Arabidopsis thaliana: one gene and its partners. The protein of the gene in region 3 interacts with the protein of the main gene of each other region in a pairwise test. Each region holds a gene or a part of one and is shown on either strand. Other genes may lie near its edges. The genes, in order: ERS2, NRT1.1, CPK1 and PUP14.

Evidence for each region.
Region 1: the proteins of CPK1 (region 3) and ERS2 interact in a protein complementation assay, tested with the Arabidopsis thaliana proteins (one large-scale study listed by BioGRID).
Region 2: the proteins of CPK1 (region 3) and NRT1.1 interact in a protein complementation assay, tested with the Arabidopsis thaliana proteins (one large-scale study listed by BioGRID).
Region 4: the proteins of CPK1 (region 3) and PUP14 interact in a protein complementation assay, tested with the Arabidopsis thaliana proteins (one large-scale study listed by BioGRID).

The regions. Positions count from the first base shown.
Region 1 is NC_003070.9:1,154,250-1,159,796, forward strand, and holds ERS2 (ethylene response sensor 2), read right to left. Parts: upstream 3,565-5,547; 5' UTR 3,297-3,564; intron 2,891-3,296; 5' UTR 2,877-2,890; coding exon 1,101-2,876; intron 1,029-1,100; coding exon 867-1,028; 3' UTR 515-866; downstream 1-514. UniProt on the Arabidopsis thaliana protein: Ethylene receptor related to bacterial two-component regulators. Acts as a redundant negative regulator of ethylene signaling.
Region 2 is NC_003070.9:4,103,476-4,110,136, forward strand, and holds NRT1.1 (nitrate transporter 1.1), read left to right. Parts: upstream 1-1,747; 5' UTR 1,748-1,865; coding exon 1,866-1,980; intron 1,981-2,165; coding exon 2,166-2,343; intron 2,344-2,437; coding exon 2,438-2,477; intron 2,478-2,651; coding exon 2,652-3,226; intron 3,227-4,950; coding exon 4,951-5,815; 3' UTR 5,816-6,126; downstream 6,127-6,661. UniProt on the Arabidopsis thaliana protein: Dual affinity nitrate transporter. Involved in proton-dependent nitrate uptake and in the regulation of the nitrate transporter NRT2.1.
Region 3 is NC_003076.8:1,416,022-1,422,454, reverse strand, and holds CPK1 (calcium dependent protein kinase 1), read left to right. Parts: upstream 1-1,900; 5' UTR 1,901-2,577; coding exon 2,578-3,490; intron 3,491-3,607; coding exon 3,608-3,751; intron 3,752-3,846; coding exon 3,847-3,999; intron 4,000-4,160; coding exon 4,161-4,276; intron 4,277-4,431; coding exon 4,432-4,599; intron 4,600-4,750; coding exon 4,751-4,975; intron 4,976-5,326; coding exon 5,327-5,440; 3' UTR 5,441-5,891; downstream 5,892-6,433. UniProt on the Arabidopsis thaliana protein: May play a role in signal transduction pathways that involve calcium as a second messenger. Phosphorylates the Ca(2+)-ATPase ACA2 resulting in the inhibition of its calcium activation.
Region 4 is NC_003070.9:6,830,795-6,834,375, forward strand, and holds PUP14 (purine permease 14), read left to right. Parts: upstream 1-1,530; 5' UTR 1,531-1,631; coding exon 1,632-1,674; intron 1,675-1,769; coding exon 1,770-2,908; 3' UTR 2,909-3,043; downstream 3,044-3,581. Other genes in the region: CNGC8 (cyclic nucleotide gated channel 8), read right to left, coding at 3,091-3,581. UniProt on the Arabidopsis thaliana protein: Purine permease implicated in ATP-dependent cytokinin translocation that controls the spatiotemporal landscape of cytokinin signaling. Depletes ligands from the apoplast, which leads to a suppression of the cytokinin response.

The DNA of each region.
Region 1 (5,547 bases), on a different chromosome or scaffold from region 3:
CGAAAAATTAGAGGGCGGCGAAGCAATATATCATTTCAATCAGCTAAAATATCCAGAGAAACCTCATAATTTCATCAAAGACATCGGAAAACAAAACAAAGCCCAGATGAAATCAACGATCGGGGAAAATCAAAATCGGTGTGGTATCAAAATGAAAGACTGTAATCGGAACATAAAGCCTCGCAAAATCCGAAGAACAAAGGAGGAGATATAGAAGAAGCTTATTGGTTGTAGATCGAAGCGAACCTGAGATGGTGGAAGAAAGAGCAAAGAGAAGCTAATTCGTTGAATGGGCTAATGGCAGCTCCTATGAGATTCTACAGAGAGAGAACAAACCAAAAAAGACGACGGAGGAAAAGAAAGAGAGATAAATAGAGAGAAAGAGAGGTCGCACGAATCACCTCAATGTTAAAAAAAAAAAATCACATAAACCTTTTAAAAACAAAAGTTAATTAAAAGGTCGAAGTTAATATGTACCTGGATACATATTGTGGATACAAGTTGTATACGGTTTCTGGATCAGAAATCAATAAATTTATAAGCTTCATCTAAAACGTCACAATATTTGACAAAGGAGTTGGTAGGCTTGTAAATCACAAATCCGTAAGGAACATCCTCCGACACATTTTTTTACTTTGAATTCTGTTATCACCAGCAAGTTACAACAAGTCTGCATCATACCTTTTGCCTACACGATAGGTTAAAACCTAGTTAACTTTCAGGTTTTTACAACCGAACGACAACGTTTTAGTACTCTCTCTGTTAATCTCATTAAAGCCCCTACTGTTTTTACAAATTCTCAGATTCCACCCCTTAAATCTTTCTTTTGCACTACATTCCCCTCCCCCCCTTCCTGACGTCAATGATCAGTGGCTAGTAGACGGAGGAGTTGAGGTTCTAAACGTTTCTCCAGAATATCCACCGCCTCTCGACATCATCGATCGCCGGAGTTGAAACCGGAAAACAACTGAGACGCTTTTCACCAAACCTAGACCGTCCTCAACAACCCGAATATTCCCTTGCATATACTGTCACAAAACAAGATAAAAGTGTTAAACCAAGTCATTAGCACATTTACATACAAAACACAAATGACCAACCTTTACAATGTTTTGGCAAGCGTTGAGACTCGGATTCTCTTCCTCCTCCTCCAGGTTACTACCACTACTACTACTACTACTCTCTTCACCTTCAGCAGTTACCTCGAATCCGAATCTAACTTCCATGTATTCTTTCGAATAGCAATGTCGCCAAACCGCTTCTTGAATATCTTTCCTCTCTGATACGTCTGAGTTCCCGCTTTCCGGAAAAACCCAGAAAGTCACATTCCCTTTGATCTTTCGATTCATTAGAACCCCAAGCATATGCAAAATCGCTTGAAAGACCTTTCTATCATCACCTACGACGTAGTCAGGCAATGCTCTATAAACTTCAGCTGAGAAACCAAAACCATTTGCCATGCATAAACACCTCGCCACGCAAGCTGACTCTTTCACAACCGAATGCAAACTGAAATAATGAGTCTCTGCAGCGCGGATTGTCCCATTGTTTATATCTCCGGCATTGTTTACAAGCTGTACAAGTAACTCGCTGGTTCTCCTCATTGCATCAACGATAACAGTCTGGTTCTCGGGTAACTTCCCATCCTGAAGTATCAAAGGAAGCAACCCGAGAATGGACCGCACAGGACACCTCATTGCATCGCTCATCATCTGCTCGAACGCAGCCTTGGCTTGATTAGCTCTCAGTGCGTTCTCCCTCGCAACCTGAAGCGCTCGGTTCTGTTCAGCGAGTTTCTCTCTCATAAGCTGAGATTCTTCAAGAATCACGGCGTGAGAGATTGCAACCGCCACTTGATCAGCCACCACCTTAACAATCTCAAGCTCTTGATAAGTCCAAGCCTGCGGCTGTCTCAATGGAAGCACACACACCAATATCGCATAACACATGTGAATCGCCTCTGGTGTCCCGCCTTTAAAGTTACAAACCCGAAGCATAGGGACTCTTATCCCAACCGTAGGACCTGACTTCCCTCGGCTAGTCACTGAGGCAAGCACAGAACCAGGGCTCAACATATTCACCTCTTCGCTTCTCTTAATCCTCACAACATCAGACTCACTAATCGGTATCGAGAACCCAGCATAACCACCAAAATGCTCATTCTCATTCTCATCATCAATCCTCGGTCTTAACTCATGAGTAAGATTCATCTCCGTCTTGATCTCATTCGGGATCCAAACCGCACAGTTCTTGAGCCCCAGAGTCTTGGACAACTCCACAAGCGTAGTGTATAGAATGGTGTGTCGATCAAGAGACGTCCTAATCTTGGTAGTGAGCATACGAACATGCAAACTCGTCTCAGTCTGCTTCATAATGATCCCAACCTCACGATCAAGCTCTCTGGTCTTCTTACTCAACATAAACTCACGAACCTTAGCCTTAAGAAGCAATGGTAAGAGAGTGACTAACGAGAGTGCCGTGAGGAAAGAGACGATACCAGTCAGCATCTTGAAGACAGTGACAGCTGTCATGACCCAAGGCCAGTGAGGCCCGTAGGTGAAACCAGCGAGCAAATGGGTCATGCCGCAGAGAACAATGAAGGCTATAAACTCGCAGACCACCCAATTGTAAGGTGAAGGCACATTGGTGCGGCTCACGAAGTAAACCAGCTCGATTGGGATCGAGAAATAAGCGATTGCGATAAGAAAGTCGCCGACTTTTTGCGAGTTGAGGATTGTCTCGTAGCTAAAGAGACTGTCTTCGTCGTCGCAGTTGCATAACGACAAGCTACCGTCGTCTTCTGCGGCGGTGACGACGGAACCGATTAAGAAGAAGAAGAAGAAGACAAGCCATTGGACTAACAATGTCTTTAACATCGATTACTGTTTCCCTGAGTAAGAATTAATTAAAAAGGTGAGATTTTTATTCATACCCAGAACTCAAAATCGAGATTTTTCAATTCAATATGCGTAACGTTTGGATTTTGTATACCCAGAATTGTGCAATTACCTATGAACATAGTGAAAATCAAAATCAGAAAAAGATTCAAAATTCAAAACTTGTTCAAGGAGAGAGTAAAGTTAATGTCTTTTAGATTATAAATCTTTTTCACAACAAGGACCGAATTTGTAAATTAATTTTCTTTTAATCCCCTAAATGTATGAAGTTATGAACCACCCACAAGAACAAACATCAAAATCTACCGATTCCTCACAAAATCCGCAGAAAATTCAAAATCAGATGAGAAATAGCGAAAAGGAACATCAAACCCATCTCACATTTGAGAAATCATATACCTGCAACGTAGTGATCAGCCAAAAATCTCTTTTCCAGAAAACGTAAAAGCTGTAGAAGAAGAAGAAGAAGAAGTCTAAACGATTGTTGAATCTTACGAAACTCACCAGAATGTGTAGAGAGAGAGACAAGTTAGGGAAGTAAATATGTGTGTGAGCAGAGTCTCTCGCTCTCTCTTTTTCTGTGTCTGCTGCGATAGAGAGAGTAGATTTACGTTTTGGTGAGAGAGAGAGAGAGAGAGAGAGAGAGAGGGAGGAATTGGGGGGAGAGTGAAGAAGGAAAGGGGGGTGGGACCCAGAAACGGTACATGAAGAGAACATAGACGCTTTTCGTTTGGAACACAACACGAGCACGACATCTTCTTCTTCTTCTTCTTGACCTACGTGGACTCTTACCAAATTCAATTTTAGAGGATTCTTCTTCTTTTTTTAATCTTTCCTTTTCAGCTTTATTAATTAATGACTCTATTTTCAAGATTTATGACTCTTAATACCTATCCCAAATTTTATTCTGCTTTTGGATTACAATAAACAACCTATAATAATATATATATATATTTATATTTCTATTATTTTATGTATAAAAATAAATCTATTCTTTTTAATGTTTAAAAATTAGTTAATTATATTAAATAAATGTTTTATTTCTATTATGGATGATTACATTGGTTTTTTAGAAAGTGAGATTACATGACCAAATAGTAGTATAAGTTTACATTAAAACCAAAAAATTGCATTAAACAATGATAACTACTAGACTATGCAAGTATGAAGTCTACTCACTAAATATCTAAGTTAAAAATAGTATTGACTTAAACGGCACAATTTGCGGCTGATTTGATAACATAATGAGTTAGTTTATTCGACTGACTTAAGATATTTGGTAGATAATTAAATATGCAATGCTATTTTTCGTTTGTAAAACGTTATATTGACCTACCTTGCTACTTATTAGACATGATTTAGTTAAACACTCCATCTTTGTTTTTCTACTCAATAATAACAATACCGAATCAAATTTCTTTGTGGGTCTACCGCCACTTAACTCTTATCAGAAAATGGAGTCTTAACTAAGTGCATGATCATCTCTTTGGATCCCAATATCACTAAATTATCGATCGTACTACTAATTTTTCTTGGCAATTTTATCATTTTATTGGTAATATTTCCCTTTCAAGAAATCAATATGATCAACCACTAACTTTTCTTTGTAAACCGCAAATTTAGAAAAATATATACACATGAAAATCCGTATATTTTGATTGCCCTATTGAAATTTAGTACAAGTAATATATAAACTAGCTACATAACCTCGACAATAACGAACACTTATCAGATTTAGAAGACAAAACTAACAGCAATCTTGCTATATCGGTTTGAATTTTATGTTTTTGTTTATTAATATGAATTTGATCTTAGTGGATGCACTAGGAACATTTTATGGTCAAGGTTTTATACCAATATAAATCTTTTAAATAAATAACCAGTGGTCTAGTGGTAGAATAGTACCCTGCCACGGTACAGACCCGGGTTCGATTCCCGGCTGGTGCAGATTGTATTTTTTTCCTGTTATACAGGTTTTTTCGCTTTTTTCTTTTTCTTTTTTTCTGAATCCAATGCTATTATTGGCCACGTGTCGAGCGATGAACACGTGCTGATTCCTTTCCTTTTCTGTCTACATTCTCGTCACTATTACAAAACAAATGTCTTCTCCTTTTAAAGAAATCACTGGTAAGAATGCATGCATCATAAAACTTTTATCAAAGAAATAGAAATAGTGCATGCACCTTTGCCACTTAAGCCAATATATATGCAAATCAAAACAGATGTACACAGAATCATTTTTACTTTTTTTGCATGAGACCACATACATATACAGTATAATCTTTTGTCTGTAAAGGCAATCCAGTACAAGACTAGCTAATGTTTGATAGACGTTTCATTTATACAGCAAGAGCGGGACTGATTGTTTATATACGGAAATTCATCAAATATTCAAATTGATTTAAAAAAATGGTGATTTGAATTACTTTTATAGTCAGATGATTTGATCAATACATTTACATCTTCTTTCCGGTGACATTATAAAAACGTTTAATACTTCTTTTAAAATTTAGTATTTTTCATGTATATAAAACATGTATCCTTGATCTTTCATTCCTTCTCTCGTTTTTTGGGACCAACTTTCTGTTTAGGTACGTCTTCCTTAGAATATACGAGATTCTCTTGAGTCTTGAATATGAACTGTTATCGA
Region 2 (6,661 bases), on a different chromosome or scaffold from region 3:
TTTCCATTAATTTATTTTCTTATTCCTTTTCGGAGGATGTGTTTATTAATTTAATTTCAATAGAAGATAATATATTTGGGTTCACCACTCGTTCTCTTTTTCTTTTTGGATGGGACTCTTCATTGTGACTTTTTTGTTCTCGCTCTTCCACAATCTTTGGATGTGTACAAAATAATCGATTGTTGGGGATATTATAGTAAATTTAGCAATATGAAACTAGCAACGAAGAAAGTGTTTATTGATGGGTTCAAAATTTCATCGATCTGCATATCAATAACTCGGAAAGAGATGGATCATGACACATAGTATACAATAAATTTTATAAATTTCGAAAATTAACTAATTGAGGATAGAAATTCATCAATTACTTAATAAATAAATAAAAAACTGATTCAAATGTATGTTTTACTTCTGTAACATACAATTTCTTGCTTTTCTTGAAAATTGACTCGTTTTTTATATTGGATATTTTACATAGACTTTGAGACTTATTAATAAAACTAACTAACCATCTCTTACAAATTGTTGGAATAAATTATTTTTATTTTTCTGTTGGCTCTATAAAATGAAAATGACCTTTGTTCTTCTTCTTTATACTCCTATATATGTTTTCTCCAGAGAGAAAGAGAACCATTGAAGTTGCGAGACTTCCAATTATATATATAGTTCATGAAAGTCCTGTGACCATGCTCTTTATTTATTTTATTTCACTATACGTTAAATAAATGGAAAGTAGGGTAATAATCATATTGCAGCATGATTCATTTTAGTGGCGTCTAAGAAGCATTCATTTTGAGCCATTAAATCTCAAGGTAGACTTTCCCATTAACACAAAAGAAGAAAAAATTGGTACGTAATCATACCAACATCTACAAATCTTTGGTTTCAATTTTGTAACAAAGACCTAGATTGTTGACAAACAAAAAGCAAATACCTAAAAGGACTTTTATTGACTTCTATAAAGATGTTTTGATTGAAATTTCATATAATTTAATAGTTTCCTCAAACTATATGCAATAAAATTATAATTTGATAATTACATGTGAAAGAAAACATGACTCTCAAATTAATATGAGTCGATTATCAATAAATTTTTGTGATATGGCTGTGCTGCAGAACAACTGAATGGGCCTAGAAGTAAAGTTGATATTGAGCAAACAAAAAACGAAATAGATTTTTTTTTTCTTTTGGGCAAACTCAAAAAACGAAATAGATATGCCTCGACAATACTACAAAATCTCAAATGAACAATATTGATGAAAATGCGTTTGTAACACAGAAATCAATTATTTTGAATTATTTTCCATATATAGTACAGACGTAAAAAACATACTGTATTATCTTTCATGGAAGTAAAATAATTTTCCAAGAAATAGAACAAATGTAAAACAGGTGGTGGCTAAAACTGGTGCTTTTAATGGCTAATGCCATTGAATCACTGACAAAATGACCGATGACTTCAACTTAAAAGTTCAAGCCCACAGTTCCAAAGGTAGAGGAAGTGGTAAAATTTAGGTATGGTCTCTTTCTCTCTCTCTCAATTTTCTCTTTCTACAAATATATACTACAGTTACAGTAGTAGTTATTATTATTAATTATTCTCTCCCCAATCAAACAACACTCATCAGAGTCACACATGTGTCACTTTTTTCTTCAATATTTTAGTTTTATGAATAAAAAATCAAAATAAAACAATAAAAACTTTTTTAACTTGGCTAGTTTCCCAGTATAAATAGATGTATCAACGAACACATTTAAGACCACAAAAGAAACCAAGAGCTCTCAAACAAAACAGCCTTTTACATAAGAACAAACACCCCCAAAAACTGCAAAAAAAAGAGAGAGATCATTAATCCATCTTCAAGATGTCTCTTCCTGAAACTAAATCTGATGATATCCTTCTTGATGCTTGGGACTTCCAAGGCCGTCCCGCCGATCGCTCAAAAACCGGCGGCTGGGCCAGCGCCGCCATGATTCTTTGTAAGTATAATCACATAATAAAAGTTCTAGAGAAAAGCTACCAACAATATACATGCTGAAGACAAGAATTGAAACTTTTTAATGGCATTTACTAAGTTATAAGTTTCTTATGGCTATCATTCTTATTCTTTTATGTATTCTCGATGTATCCAACTTTATCATTAACAAAATTTTATTGTGTGAAGGTATTGAGGCCGTGGAGAGGCTGACGACGTTAGGTATCGGAGTTAATCTGGTGACGTATTTGACGGGAACTATGCATTTAGGCAATGCAACTGCGGCTAACACCGTTACCAATTTCCTCGGAACTTCTTTCATGCTCTGTCTCCTCGGTGGCTTCATCGCCGATACCTTTCTCGGCAGGTTTGTCTATAAATATATTTATATTTACTTAACTAAAATCATTCAGATTCTTTTTAAAATATTAATTTGAGTTCATTCATTTTGTTTTGTATAGGTACCTAACGATTGCTATATTCGCCGCAATCCAAGCCACGGTAAGGACCTCAAAAGTCCCTTTCTCCTTACCAAAACTTATACCCAAGAAAACGAAGAAAATAAAAATATTGTCTAGTCAATAAACAAATCGAAATAGTAAACAGCATAAGTCGTTATTTTTGTTATAGTTTTCCGAAAAATAATATCCGTGTTATGAACTATGATGCTATCAGGGTGTTTCAATCTTAACTCTATCAACAATCATACCGGGACTTCGACCACCAAGATGCAATCCAACAACGTCGTCTCACTGCGAACAAGCAAGTGGAATACAACTGACGGTCCTATACTTAGCCTTATACCTCACCGCTCTAGGAACGGGAGGCGTGAAGGCTAGTGTCTCGGGTTTCGGGTCGGACCAATTCGATGAGACCGAACCAAAAGAACGATCGAAAATGACATATTTCTTCAACCGTTTCTTCTTTTGTATCAACGTTGGCTCTCTTTTAGCTGTGACGGTCCTTGTCTACGTACAAGACGATGTTGGACGCAAATGGGGCTATGGAATTTGCGCGTTTGCGATCGTGCTTGCACTCAGCGTTTTCTTGGCCGGAACAAACCGCTACCGTTTCAAGAAGTTGATCGGTAGCCCGATGACGCAGGTTGCTGCGGTTATCGTGGCGGCGTGGAGGAATAGGAAGCTCGAGCTGCCGGCAGATCCGTCCTATCTCTACGATGTGGATGATATTATTGCGGCGGAAGGTTCGATGAAGGGTAAACAAAAGCTGCCACACACTGAACAATTCCGGTACGATTCTTTTAATTAACTCATCATTTGCTTTCCACGTACGATCCTCAAAACTTACAATGATTTAAATTTTAAGATAAAAGTTTTAAAATTTTTCTTTTTCTTTTCCATTTAAGGGTTAATTGAAATAATTGAGGTACTGGTTCCCTTAATTAAATGTGATAGTATCAGTAGACTTTAAAAATGTGAAATTAAAAGTGGGGTTGTGTGGGTGAGAAATAACTCGAAATGCTCGTGTCCTTTAATTATAGTGGGACCGTAAATATTTCTCATTATATGCCTACTTGGCATTAGAAATCATTTTTTTTTGACAGCCATTATAAATTAATTAAAAGGTGTTGAATATCTTTCTTTGTCTTTTGTTACGGGGAAAATAAATTATTTTCATAATATTATTACTCGACCATACAGCGAAACTGGTCCAGGATACGAATTATACAGCTAATTACAACATTTTTGGATTTTTGGGTTCAAAGTCCCTACTTTGGCATTTTATATTGTATATTTTTTCCTTAAAATCCTATGTGTGTGTGCATGTGTATATCTTTGTTAGATAACACGTTAAGTTCGGTTCATAGAATAGGTAGGAAAATAAAAGTAGTCTCTCGGAATTAGTCGGAAAGATAAAGTAATTCAGATAAACAAATGAATAAGTATATGCAAGTGATATCAAGTGGGGTAAAATTCTCCATCTTTACTTTTTGCCTATAAAAAATTTCACACCCACTCGTAGAATATTTGGTTTTTACAGAAAGAGTATCTTCATCATTGCGGAAAATTAAATACACCAATTTGCTATTTTATCTTTATTATAGTATTATAATTATGATTATGATTCTAATGCCTTATAACTTTAAATACACATACACTGACACACATATATCTATATTTATATTCCCCTGACTCGTGAGTTTTCCCCCTTTAAGTACGGTATCTTTTATTTTTGCTAACTTAAGTACAGTATCTTTTATCCATCAATCCCTATGCATACCTACATAGAAATAAAAGAATCCAAAGGAATCAATTTTTCTTTATACCAGATAATTTATGGAAAATCTATTTAGCATCTCTAGATATTGGAATCCCTTTCTCGGAAATAAAACTAATAAAGAAGAAGAGACGAGAAGTTAGGGTAGGGAGGCAGGTGTTTTGTCTGTAGTGAAAACGATCAAATATCGTGTCGTAGCACCTCCACTACTTTACACCTTCACCGGGACAGACCCAAAGTTAGGCATAATTAAGAACCCTAGCGTCACATGCACGACACGTGCTTTGCGTGCTCGGTGCTTCATTAAATTTCTCTTTCGTTTGGGTCTCTCTAAAAGGTAGTTGAAAACTAAAGAAAAAACCTTTTACACTTTTCCATAAATTCAAACTCTTAACTTTTTTTTGCCTACACTATTTTAAAAGCAATTACGTATTTGTCATGCATGTGTGTGAAGGATATATCATCTTGAAAAGATTCCACGTAACTATCTCCACAACATGTTGATTCAAATATTCAATGCGTAAGCTATATTCCAAAAAAAGAAACAATGTATTATTGATATGAAATTTCAATAAATAGGGACACTTCATAATTTTCTAAGAAACACACAAAAGATCTTTGGTTTGAAAAATCAGATACTTATCTTTAATCCAATATATGTAAAATATTTTATCTCCATTTTACATAATTTACTATTATATTCTAATTATTCCTTATATCATTTTTGATGCCACAGTTCATTAGATAAGGCAGCAATAAGGGATCAGGAAGCGGGAGTTACCTCGAATGTATTCAACAAGTGGACACTCTCAACACTAACAGATGTTGAGGAAGTGAAACAAATCGTGCGAATGTTACCAATTTGGGCAACATGCATCCTCTTCTGGACCGTCCACGCTCAATTAACGACATTATCAGTCGCACAATCCGAGACATTGGACCGTTCCATCGGGAGCTTCGAGATCCCTCCAGCATCGATGGCAGTCTTCTACGTCGGTGGCCTCCTCCTAACCACCGCCGTCTATGACCGCGTCGCCATTCGTCTATGCAAAAAGCTATTCAACTACCCCCATGGTCTAAGACCGCTTCAACGGATCGGTTTGGGGCTTTTCTTCGGATCAATGGCTATGGCTGTGGCTGCTTTGGTCGAGCTCAAACGTCTTAGAACTGCACACGCTCATGGTCCAACAGTCAAAACGCTTCCTCTAGGGTTTTATCTACTCATCCCACAATATCTTATTGTCGGTATCGGCGAAGCGTTAATCTACACAGGACAGTTAGATTTCTTCTTGAGAGAGTGCCCTAAAGGTATGAAAGGGATGAGCACGGGTCTATTGTTGAGCACATTGGCATTAGGCTTTTTCTTCAGCTCGGTTCTCGTGACAATCGTCGAGAAATTCACCGGGAAAGCTCATCCATGGATTGCCGATGATCTCAACAAGGGCCGTCTTTACAATTTCTACTGGCTTGTGGCCGTACTTGTTGCCTTGAACTTCCTCATTTTCCTAGTTTTCTCCAAGTGGTACGTTTACAAGGAAAAAAGACTAGCTGAGGTGGGGATTGAGTTGGATGATGAGCCGAGTATTCCAATGGGTCATTGATCATGAATTCATGATCATGATCATGATGATGAACATTATGCATGTCTATGTTGATATGTTTGAATTTGATTTTGAGTTTTGTTTGTATATTTTATGATGCTTTTCTTAATTACCTCTTGTTTCCGAGTCGACAAATAATGGACCGACCGATAAGGGATAAAAGTTAAAGTTTTCCCATCAGGTTCTGTATAAAAGCAGAAATTGTAACATTTCTTAAGATTTGACGCAATTAACGTCTTTTTGTCTTCAATTTCCATTTTTCATTTTTTCCCAGTAAATTATCATACCATTCAACGTTTGTTTTCTCACTTGTTTTGGTATCGTTTGTTTTCGAATATGTGAATAATTTGGACCAGAACTAGGCGTCTAGGCCACTAGCTAGTGCCTAGTGGACTATCACACCTTTCTTTTGTAATATTGGTAAACAAAAAAAGTTGTCTTTAAAACTATAATTGAATTATGACCGAGCTCTGTGAATTTACTGGCTCAATTGTCTCTCGATGACTACTGGTCAAGTGATTAATTTGAATTATCAAGGAGCTGCATGATTAAGTCCAAAACATATATAATCATGATGAATACAAATTAAATATGACAAATGATGAATATTACTTTTATTTGTTTACACTTGTTACTTTTATTTTTTGGATATATACTTTTATATCTTTCAACTATGTAGCTAATTGGATAAAGAATCATCAGTCTAAAGTCTAAACTGATCAACAATCCAGTTTTTTTTTTCAATTATTTTTCAATCAGATAAATACCAATTATTAGCTATAATTTCGATGAATTACTATCGAATTGTTTATAGGGAATTTAATGAAAAAAACCCTCAATTTTGGC
Region 3 (6,433 bases):
GCTTCTACTGTATCTTCCTCATAAGCCTTCGCGAGGTTTCTGAGTCGCTGCTCTGTGTATCCACCGCCGTAAAAAGCTCTCCTTTTTCCTCTCCGATTCTTCTTCTGTCGACTTTGTCTCCATCCTCGGATCATGATGACGGGAATAGGAGCCGTTTGATTGAGGTTAGGGATTTAAGTGCTTGTGATTGTTGAATTGTGGAAGAAAGGAGAGATTTTTCATGTTAATGAAACACTAGTACATATAGACGTTGTGAAGTTTGTTAGCCGTGATTCTATTGGATATTATTTCTGTACTAAGAGAGCATTAGCTAAAATTTCTGACAAGCTTAACTAATTCCAATTGTGTGAATCATTTGCATCATTGCTGATATTTCCTAACTAATATTATGAAAGGTTGAGGCTCGTAAGTTTTTTGCTTATGAACACATTTTTTCAAGGTAAGTTTCTCAATCTTCATGTTGTTGAAACATATGATTCCTAGAGTATCTCTACTCGTACCCCTCTCATAAATCATTGTGTTTAAAGCCGAGCATCTGCATGATATGTAAGGATCTCTTGCGGTTCTCTTCTTGAGTCTCCAAACTCCAGTTGAGATCCCTGGTGTTAGCAATATGGATTTTCTCGAGAATATAGTATTTGATGCTAGGAACAGAAAACCTGGTCAGCCAAAGATTGAGCCAATGTAGGTGTCTTCGCGCATTAGTCAGTTAGATGGTTTTGGACTGTTACTTAGTTGATGGTGCACACTCATATATCTGATATAGAATTGTGTTCATGCAGTTGGAGGATTTAGAGGTGGCGAAAAGAAGCATAAAGAGATTCTTCCATTTCCAAGCGCAACACATGATAAGAAAGGTGAGGGTTTTCTTACCTTATTTTCCGGTCAATGGAAGACACACACTTGAATACCGTCATTTCCCTTTCCCACACTTGTTCTCTATTAGTGTCATAAACAGAATGCCGAATAGGTTACTTTTCATTTTATAGTCATGACTAGGAAATTTTGTTCCTCATAGCAAGATATGGAAACAGTTGTCAATTTAATTTCGTCATAGTGAAAAGGATCAATCAAGGAACAAGTACGGAAAAGATTGAGAATCTCTGTAATAAGGATCATCTGTTTTTGGAGGTCCTTGGATGTTTACTTGATCAGGACGTGGCAGAGGCAATGAACAGACTTTTGTCACCAAAAAACGCTGTTGTGATGATTGATAATCTACTATCAGAACATACTGCACTACATCAAACCAAGTCTCATACACATCATAGTGAGCGTCTTTGCCACAAATCATATCTTCTTAAATACTGATTCAAACCACCATCTCTTGATAACAATAGTGAGCTTCGTTTTTGTTTTAGGCAAGCATTCTTTCCATATCAAATCAATAACAGAGTGTCCAGAGATTCATACCGTTCTATTGCAGTAGGGACATCTCATTGGCTTATCTACTGGAAAAAGGAAGGGTGCTTGAGTGTTCCGTTAGGACCAGCAAAAACAATGGAAAGTGGTGATCATGATGTTTAGAACACCAAACTCGCCGTCTCTACAATATTAGTTCTGGTCTAGGTTTTGATCTTCAATAATAGCTGTGGTCGGAAGGAGTAATTAGGGTAAAACATAAGGGCGAAGACAAGAATGTGTAGAGCATGTGATTTGTTCAAGCTTTAACATGTGGATGTCTTATTTTTAATGACTGCTCTTTAATATGTGGGTTTTGTTTGCGCATTTTTCACTTGCGGGTTATATTTTTCAAAAGTAGTAAATGATGGGACCATTATAAAAAGGATGTTATTAGGACTCCAGAAAGGAAATTGATTTTATGGAAAATCACCTTTTTACCTCAAAGTTTTAATATATTACTAATTAAGTACCCTTACATAAGAAGCTGCGTTGCCAAGATTGAAGAGGGTGGTGGACTTTGTAATCAAAGATTAATTAAAAAGAGAGTTAAGACAAATCTCAGCGGAAAACTCGGCGGTGATAGATAATCAAAACAAAAGAAACGCGTTTTTCAAACTGGTTCAATCTTCTTCTTCGTCTTTCTTCATCGTCTTCTTCTCTATACAGACCTTGACTCTCTCATTAAATTAACAAATGTCCCTACGGTTTATGCAAGTGTAGTGCTATTAAACTATCCCTTTTATTTTCCCACCCAACTCAATTTATTTTCTCATTCTTTCTCTTTACTCTTCTTCAGATCTCTCTGTTTCTTTCTTTGTTGTTGTTATCTGGGGATGCTTTCTACTCTCTGTTTGGTTTCCTTCATTGTGACTTTCTATTTTCTGGGTTTGTTTCAAGTCATGATTTTTCCGATACCCTTTTGATTTTTCTTGCTATTTCTCACCTCTGTATAAGCAAGCTCTCTGCTGTTTCTCCTCATCCAAGTTGGGTTTATCAGTTCAGCTGTGTAGAAATTCAATCGTCTGAGAAGTCCGAGGTTTGATGTCTGATGGTTTTAAGATCGAAAGGATTTGACTTTTATCAGATTAGTAATGAGATTAGATTGTTTTTGAGGTTATTGTAATCAGATCTTGATGCTATTTCTGGTGAAAGAGATTTAAGACAAGTTAGGGAATGGGTAATACTTGTGTTGGACCAAGCAGAAATGGCTTCTTGCAATCTGTTTCAGCTGCAATGTGGCGGCCAAGAGATGGAGATGATTCGGCTTCCATGAGTAATGGAGATATTGCAAGTGAAGCTGTTTCGGGAGAGCTTCGATCTCGATTATCTGATGAAGTCCAGAATAAACCTCCTGAACAGGTCACAATGCCGAAGCCAGGGACTGACGTCGAGACCAAGGACAGAGAGATTCGAACTGAAAGCAAGCCTGAAACGCTAGAGGAGATAAGCCTTGAGTCCAAACCAGAGACTAAGCAGGAGACCAAGTCAGAGACCAAGCCGGAGTCAAAACCTGATCCTCCAGCTAAACCTAAGAAGCCTAAACACATGAAGAGAGTGTCAAGTGCAGGGCTTAGGACTGAGTCAGTGTTGCAGAGGAAGACTGAAAACTTCAAGGAATTCTATTCCTTGGGAAGGAAACTCGGACAAGGGCAATTTGGGACGACTTTTTTATGTGTCGAGAAGACTACGGGGAAGGAGTTTGCCTGCAAGTCGATTGCTAAGAGGAAGCTATTGACTGATGAGGACGTTGAGGATGTGAGAAGAGAAATTCAGATAATGCATCACTTGGCTGGTCACCCTAATGTCATCTCCATCAAAGGAGCTTATGAGGATGTTGTGGCAGTGCACCTTGTAATGGAGTGTTGTGCAGGCGGCGAGCTTTTTGACAGGATCATTCAACGCGGTCACTACACAGAGAGGAAAGCGGCTGAGCTCACTAGAACCATTGTTGGGGTTGTAGAGGCTTGCCATTCTCTTGGTGTTATGCATCGAGACCTCAAGCCCGAGAATTTTCTGTTTGTCAGTAAACACGAAGATTCCCTCTTGAAGACGATTGATTTTGGACTCTCCATGTTCTTTAAACCAGGTTTGATTTCATTGTTACTCATCTTAAAAGATCCACTTCCAGATTTGGTCTTTAACGTGAATAGTGTGATCCTTGTCGAACAATTATTTCTGAACTCGATTCCCTTCCTCTTTGCAGACGATGTTTTTACAGATGTTGTTGGTAGCCCATATTATGTTGCCCCAGAAGTTCTTCGAAAGCGTTATGGCCCTGAAGCTGATGTCTGGAGTGCTGGAGTGATTGTGTACATTTTATTAAGCGGAGTTCCTCCATTCTGGGCTGGTAAGAATTGTATATATACAGATAAGAGATTTGTCACTTTTCCTAACTAGGCTCTGAACAACATCTCTAATCTTTTTGTTTCTTTGAACATTCAGAAACCGAACAAGGTATTTTCGAACAGGTCCTCCACGGTGATCTTGACTTTTCGTCCGATCCATGGCCAAGTATATCTGAAAGTGCAAAGGATTTAGTGAGGAAAATGCTTGTCAGGGATCCCAAGAAAAGGTTAACTGCCCACCAAGTATTATGTAAGTTATTTTGATCTGAAACCTTCTCTTCCAGTTAAAGCGCTGTGATTCTCTTTCTGTTAATTCCATTGAGCATAGATTTCACTACATGAATAAAGTGTGTTGTCATGTAGAGTGATCTACCATCGTTCTATCTCTTATGGAGTTGTGCTTCTTCTCAGGTCATCCATGGGTTCAAGTCGACGGTGTGGCTCCAGACAAGCCTTTGGATTCTGCTGTTCTGAGCCGTATGAAGCAGTTTTCTGCAATGAACAAGTTCAAGAAAATGGCTCTTAGAGTAAGCAGCTTTCCGATGCTAAACAAAATTTAAAACCATATAAAAGAAGTTCCTGTCATAAACATAAGATAGCTACATTTAACCCATCTTCCTCTTGTTATGTGGAAAGAAAGAGACGACGGAGATTAAGTTTCTCTCTTTATGCCTTTTTGCAGGTCATTGCTGAGAGCTTATCTGAAGAAGAAATCGCCGGCTTGAAAGAAATGTTTAATATGATAGATGCGGACAAGAGTGGTCAGATAACTTTCGAAGAACTGAAAGCAGGACTAAAACGAGTAGGGGCGAATCTCAAAGAGTCTGAAATTCTCGACTTGATGCAAGCTGTAAGTTTTAACCGGCATACCAGTTCCCTAACTAAGATTCTGAACTGATCTTGTTATCATTCAAACTTACTCTGTTGGTTGTGGTTATATACTTCTGTTTTTGCTAGATATGCAAGTAATCTGGTTTCTCTCTCATGTGTATATAATTCAGGCTGATGTGGACAACAGCGGAACAATAGATTACAAAGAGTTCATAGCTGCAACATTACATCTAAACAAAATAGAGAGAGAGGACCATTTGTTTGCAGCCTTTACATACTTTGACAAAGATGGGAGCGGCTATATCACCCCAGACGAGCTTCAACAAGCTTGTGAGGAGTTTGGTGTTGAGGATGTCCGCATAGAAGAACTGATGCGCGATGTTGATCAAGACAATGTAAGTTCCTTTACACCTTTTATCATCTCATCCTAATTATAAAATGACTTGAATACTTCTCAACAATGATCAAATTTCAATGGATTATATACATTTTACTCATAGGAATCTCACTTATATGATCCTCTTAAATCCTTGCATTATTAAAACTACACTTCACTTACCGAGTTTTCATGTCTGTTTTCTTGGGAAAACTGAGACGATTGAGTATGATTCTTGTTAAACCTAGGGGGATAGTAGAAACTCTCTTTCCTGAGAAACAGTGAAGTAAACCGAGTTTTCATGTCGGTTTTGGATTGATATATTGGTTGAATGTTGATAATGTTGAACATTTGAATTGTTGTATTGTAGGACGGGCGAATAGACTACAACGAGTTTGTGGCGATGATGCAGAAAGGAAGCATCACAGGAGGACCTGTGAAAATGGGTCTAGAGAAAAGCTTTAGCATTGCTCTTAAACTCTAGTTTCTCAGTCTATTTAAAAGTACAAAACTAAAGCCAAGAAGACAAAAGAGTTTTCTGATAATATATACCATTTTGATTATGTTGAAGACATATGCACACAGCCAAGATTCTCTCTTGCCCTCTTTTGGATTCTCTCAATCTTTTGGATGAGGTTTTGTCTTAGACTTGTTTTGGAAACTTTGTTGTATTGTGTTACTTCTTGAGCATATATAGTCTTCTAACATTACAAACCACGATTTCTTGTCTGTAAGTAAATTCAAAGAGTCAAAAAACTTGAACACGATTTGGAAATTTTGCGATAACGATCATCAAATTTTTGTGAGGGCTTTTTCTTGTAAAGCAAAAAGTTTGAGTATTTATGTGAAAATCGTTTAAAAGTTGAGGTACTTCTATGTAATTTCCCAGTTTTCTTTTTTTGAGAAATAAAATAACTTAACCGAATTTCAATTAATTTGTTGTCCGAATTATATAATTCAAGTCCTTACCGAATCTAAGCTGAAATCAAATTAAATTATAAGCAGATAATTAAATTGGTCACCGAAAATAATAGCCACCAAACCTCCTAATCCTAAACACGTAGTATTTTGAGATCTTTATTTTCCATTTACATAATTAATTTCTTTTTTATGATTGGAAAAAACGAATAAAATGATCTTTTAGCTAGTGTTTTTGGTCAACATAAATACCTAACTTACTCTTTAGAACAACAAAAAAAATGGAGGAAAAATATAAAAGTGGGTCTCACAATCAAGTTATTTCTCCAAAAATAAATAATTTAAAGCTTGCGTTTGTTGTTGACATTTAAAAATGTTTATTTTGGGGTACGACTTTTTAATTTATAAAATTATTAAATTGGTTTTATTTAAATAAACTGATTAAATTGTCTATTTCAAAACTGCGTCCCTATCCCTTTTAAATTTCCTAATTTCAGTCCACAAAACGTGATCATGATTACTGTATCATAAAGTTTTATTTGTGTAGGGGTCTAATTGT
Region 4 (3,581 bases), on a different chromosome or scaffold from region 3:
TTTAATACCAAATCCTCACTTCTCGAGTTGTGGCATGTTCATTGAAAAGCCTGTGGAAATGCTATCTAAAGAAATTTTGTTGATCAGAGTTTCATTGCCCCATAGCGTTTTAGTACTGAAACTATAACAAAAGTCTAAAACTGGTATAGATGATGATATGCCGAAATGTATAATCCATGAAGGTTAGTAATAGTTGCTTTGTCTGTGTGAATTCAATTAACACATGACAGATTATGCCTACTTAAGCTGGACAACTGTGGCTAGGCTGCCTCAAGTTGATTTGGTGATATGCTGTGTTCTTTAATTATGGGTCCAGTGTAGTTGATAGCTTTTATGCCTATGGGTCATATGGGTGTTCTAATGGGTGTTCTATTTAAGAAGTTTGCGTGATCACAGTTTCAAATTCAATGCCCCATAGCGTTTTAGTTCTGAAACTATTGTACCGATGATGAACCGGGGAATTCAAAACACATGTCTAGAACTTATATAGATGAGTAATCCATGAAGGTTTAGTAATAGTTGTTTTGCCTTTGTGAATCTATTAACACAGTAATAGGTTATGCCTACTTGAGCTATTGCTCTGGACAACTTTGGCTGCTTCAGTCTCTTGGTCAAGACATGCTAATTTGTTAAGTATTAAAATGTTATTTTAATTACGGGTCCAGTGTATATTTGAGAGCATGTATGCCTATGGGTCATAATGGGTATAGCGTCGTGGAAACAGTGTGAGGACGTTTATATAGTCAAACGAGGCAATTGTGTACATAGAGATTTTGTATGATTCTTAAGTAAAATGTGTCAAATGAGCACCAAGGAAATTGCCTTTGTTTGTTACCCTTAATCTCTTATTTTGTAAAATCCAAACTTTCGAAGCTCATTTGGTTGAAAAATGATCAATGTTACGTTGAACAACATTGAATCTGAGTTCAAAATTTGTTTAGTTATTGCAAACAATTTGATTCGAAGTTCAAGTTCATTCTAATCTTGCACCTTTGGGATTATATCTTGAGCATTATAAAATGTCATATACCAAAATCCTTACATGAAGTATGATATTCTAAGATGAAGTCATAAGAAGACACGCATTTAAGAGAGTATCATATTACAAGTAGTGAGCTGCCAAGTGGGCATCGTGTTAGTTCAAAATTTCCGAAACGTAGGATGTTGGATAATCCCAAAGGTCAAACCCCCAAAACAAACAAAGTCAATATAACTTAAACTTAACTATACCATTTCCTTATATAACCTTCGAACCATAAATCCAATTCGGAATATTCGTTGATAGAAAACAATCAAGATTCAAAACCTCAAATATTTCTCATCATCTTTTGTCGATTATTGCTTGGATTTTGTAAAGACAAGAATAAGTTACTTCTAAGTGTTGTTTACACACTTTTTTGGATGACGAAACAACCCGGAACAAGTTGAAAACGACGACGCGTAGACATGAGGCTCGCTTGATTGACCATTACGCCGCCAGGGTAGACTTTTCGTGCCCATATATAATAAACCCTTCTCTTTCCTTTATCCCACAACATCATCCACTCCAAATATCACATATTACCAAATCTAATCGCCGACATACATTGAACTCAAATCCGCTCAGAATCTCCGACAATCAGTTCCAATCCATGGCTCAGAATCAACAACCTATTTTCCAGACCAAACCTCCAGGTAATAATAAGAATCAACAAACCAGATCTCTCGTTTCTTGATCTCCTCTTCTTACAAAACAATTTGATTCTAATTTCCTCTGTTTCTTTTTGCAGAACAATTTGTGCAAATACCTATCAACATCGAGCGTGATTCTTCAACCACACGCATGAACCAAACCGGAAACACAATCCGGAAACCAAACCACTGGCCAACCATCACCATCTCAATCATCTTCGTCATCATCGGTCAATCCATAGCGAAACTCCTCGAAAACTTCTACTACGACAAAACCAACCGAAGCGAATACAACGAAAACCGTCAAAACGATGGCGTTTGGACTCAATCTCTTCTCCAAACTGTTGGTTTCCCTCTCCTTCTTCTCCCGTTCCTCATCTTCATCACCAAGAACAAACGCAACCACCATCAACAACCTCCGATCACTTCCGATTCAATCCACTTAAAATCCTTAGCTGTGATCTACATTTGCATCGGAATTATCATGTCCGTTCAAGGAAGACTCGCAGCCATGGGAAAACTCGAGATCCCATTTGGTGTTTTCACTCTGATCTACACAGCACAGCTCTTCTTCACTCCTATCTTCGCAGCTTTCATTAACAAAATCAAATTCAATCGATGGGTTGTTATCTCTGTGATCTTAGCTATCATCACCGGAGCTCTTACTCTGTCTTCTTCATTCGGTGGTGAGCCTGATGAAGCAGAGGAGAATTACGCTAGAGGCTCATGGGCTGCTCTGTTCGCTGGAATCTGTTTCGCTCTTCTTCTCTGTAACATCCAAAACGTCTTCGACAGTTACATCTTCAAACGAACTGAATCAACCAATCAAAAACCAAGCTTTGCCTCTGTTTTCGAAGTTATTATCTTCTCTTCTCTCGTTGCTACGATCATCTCCGTCGTGGGTCTGCTTATAGCCGGTGAGCAACACGATTTGAAGAGGGAAATGAATGGATTCTCGAAAGGGAAAGGTTCTTATGTGATGGCTATGGTTGGTCAAGCTGTTTCGTGGCAGGTCTATTGGGTTGGGATTGTTGGACTTGTCTACTCTGTTTCGAGCGTGTTGTCGAATGTGATCAGTGTCATTACGTGGCCGATTGTGTCGGTTCTTGTGGTGATCTTCTTCAATTTCATGGATGATGAGTTTGATGCCTTCAAAGGTGTTGCCTTGGTTACTGCCGTCTTAAGCGCTGCAGCTTATTTCTTTAGGCTTCACAAAGACAATCGTATGGCTTATTAGGTTTGGATTCTTGAATCTCTAAAGAAAGTTTTTTTATTTCCCTTGATTTTTTGTGTGTATATCTAATCATATATTCTAGGTGTTTATCTTGTGTAAGTGTAAGTGTGTAACAGCTTTGGTTATAGATGTAAATTTGTATGTTTTACAATGAAAATGTTTGGAAGTGTGCAATCTATAAGTACTTAGTTCAAGTCATCTGTATCAAGAGCCTCAAAGTCAGGTTCTGATGGCTTTGTTAAATTCATTAAACTCTTTGAACTCTCGGTGACCCTTAGTTTATGACCCTTAAGCGCGTTAGCAGCAAATCTTGATGCAAATACCGTGGAACGTAATGTAGAACTTGATCCAACAGAACTATCACTCCTTGTAACCATACCACCCATATTATCATCATAATATTCATCATCTTCATAATCCATTTCTTCTTCTTCTTCTTCTTTACGTCTAAGCTCTGCGATTTTCCTTCTTAAATGTCTACGCCAAGCGGCTTGGATGAAACAAGCAGCCCAAGTCCTCCATTGTTGAGAGTAAAACCTGAAAGTTTGTTGAACCTGACGACTGTGAAGACGCCTGAACTGACTAGCCACAAACTTGAGCTCTTCCGCTTCTAAAGCGAAAGCCTCTACTTCAGTTAGAGCCTTCACTGTTCGTGTGGAAGAAGGTAAGTTTGAGC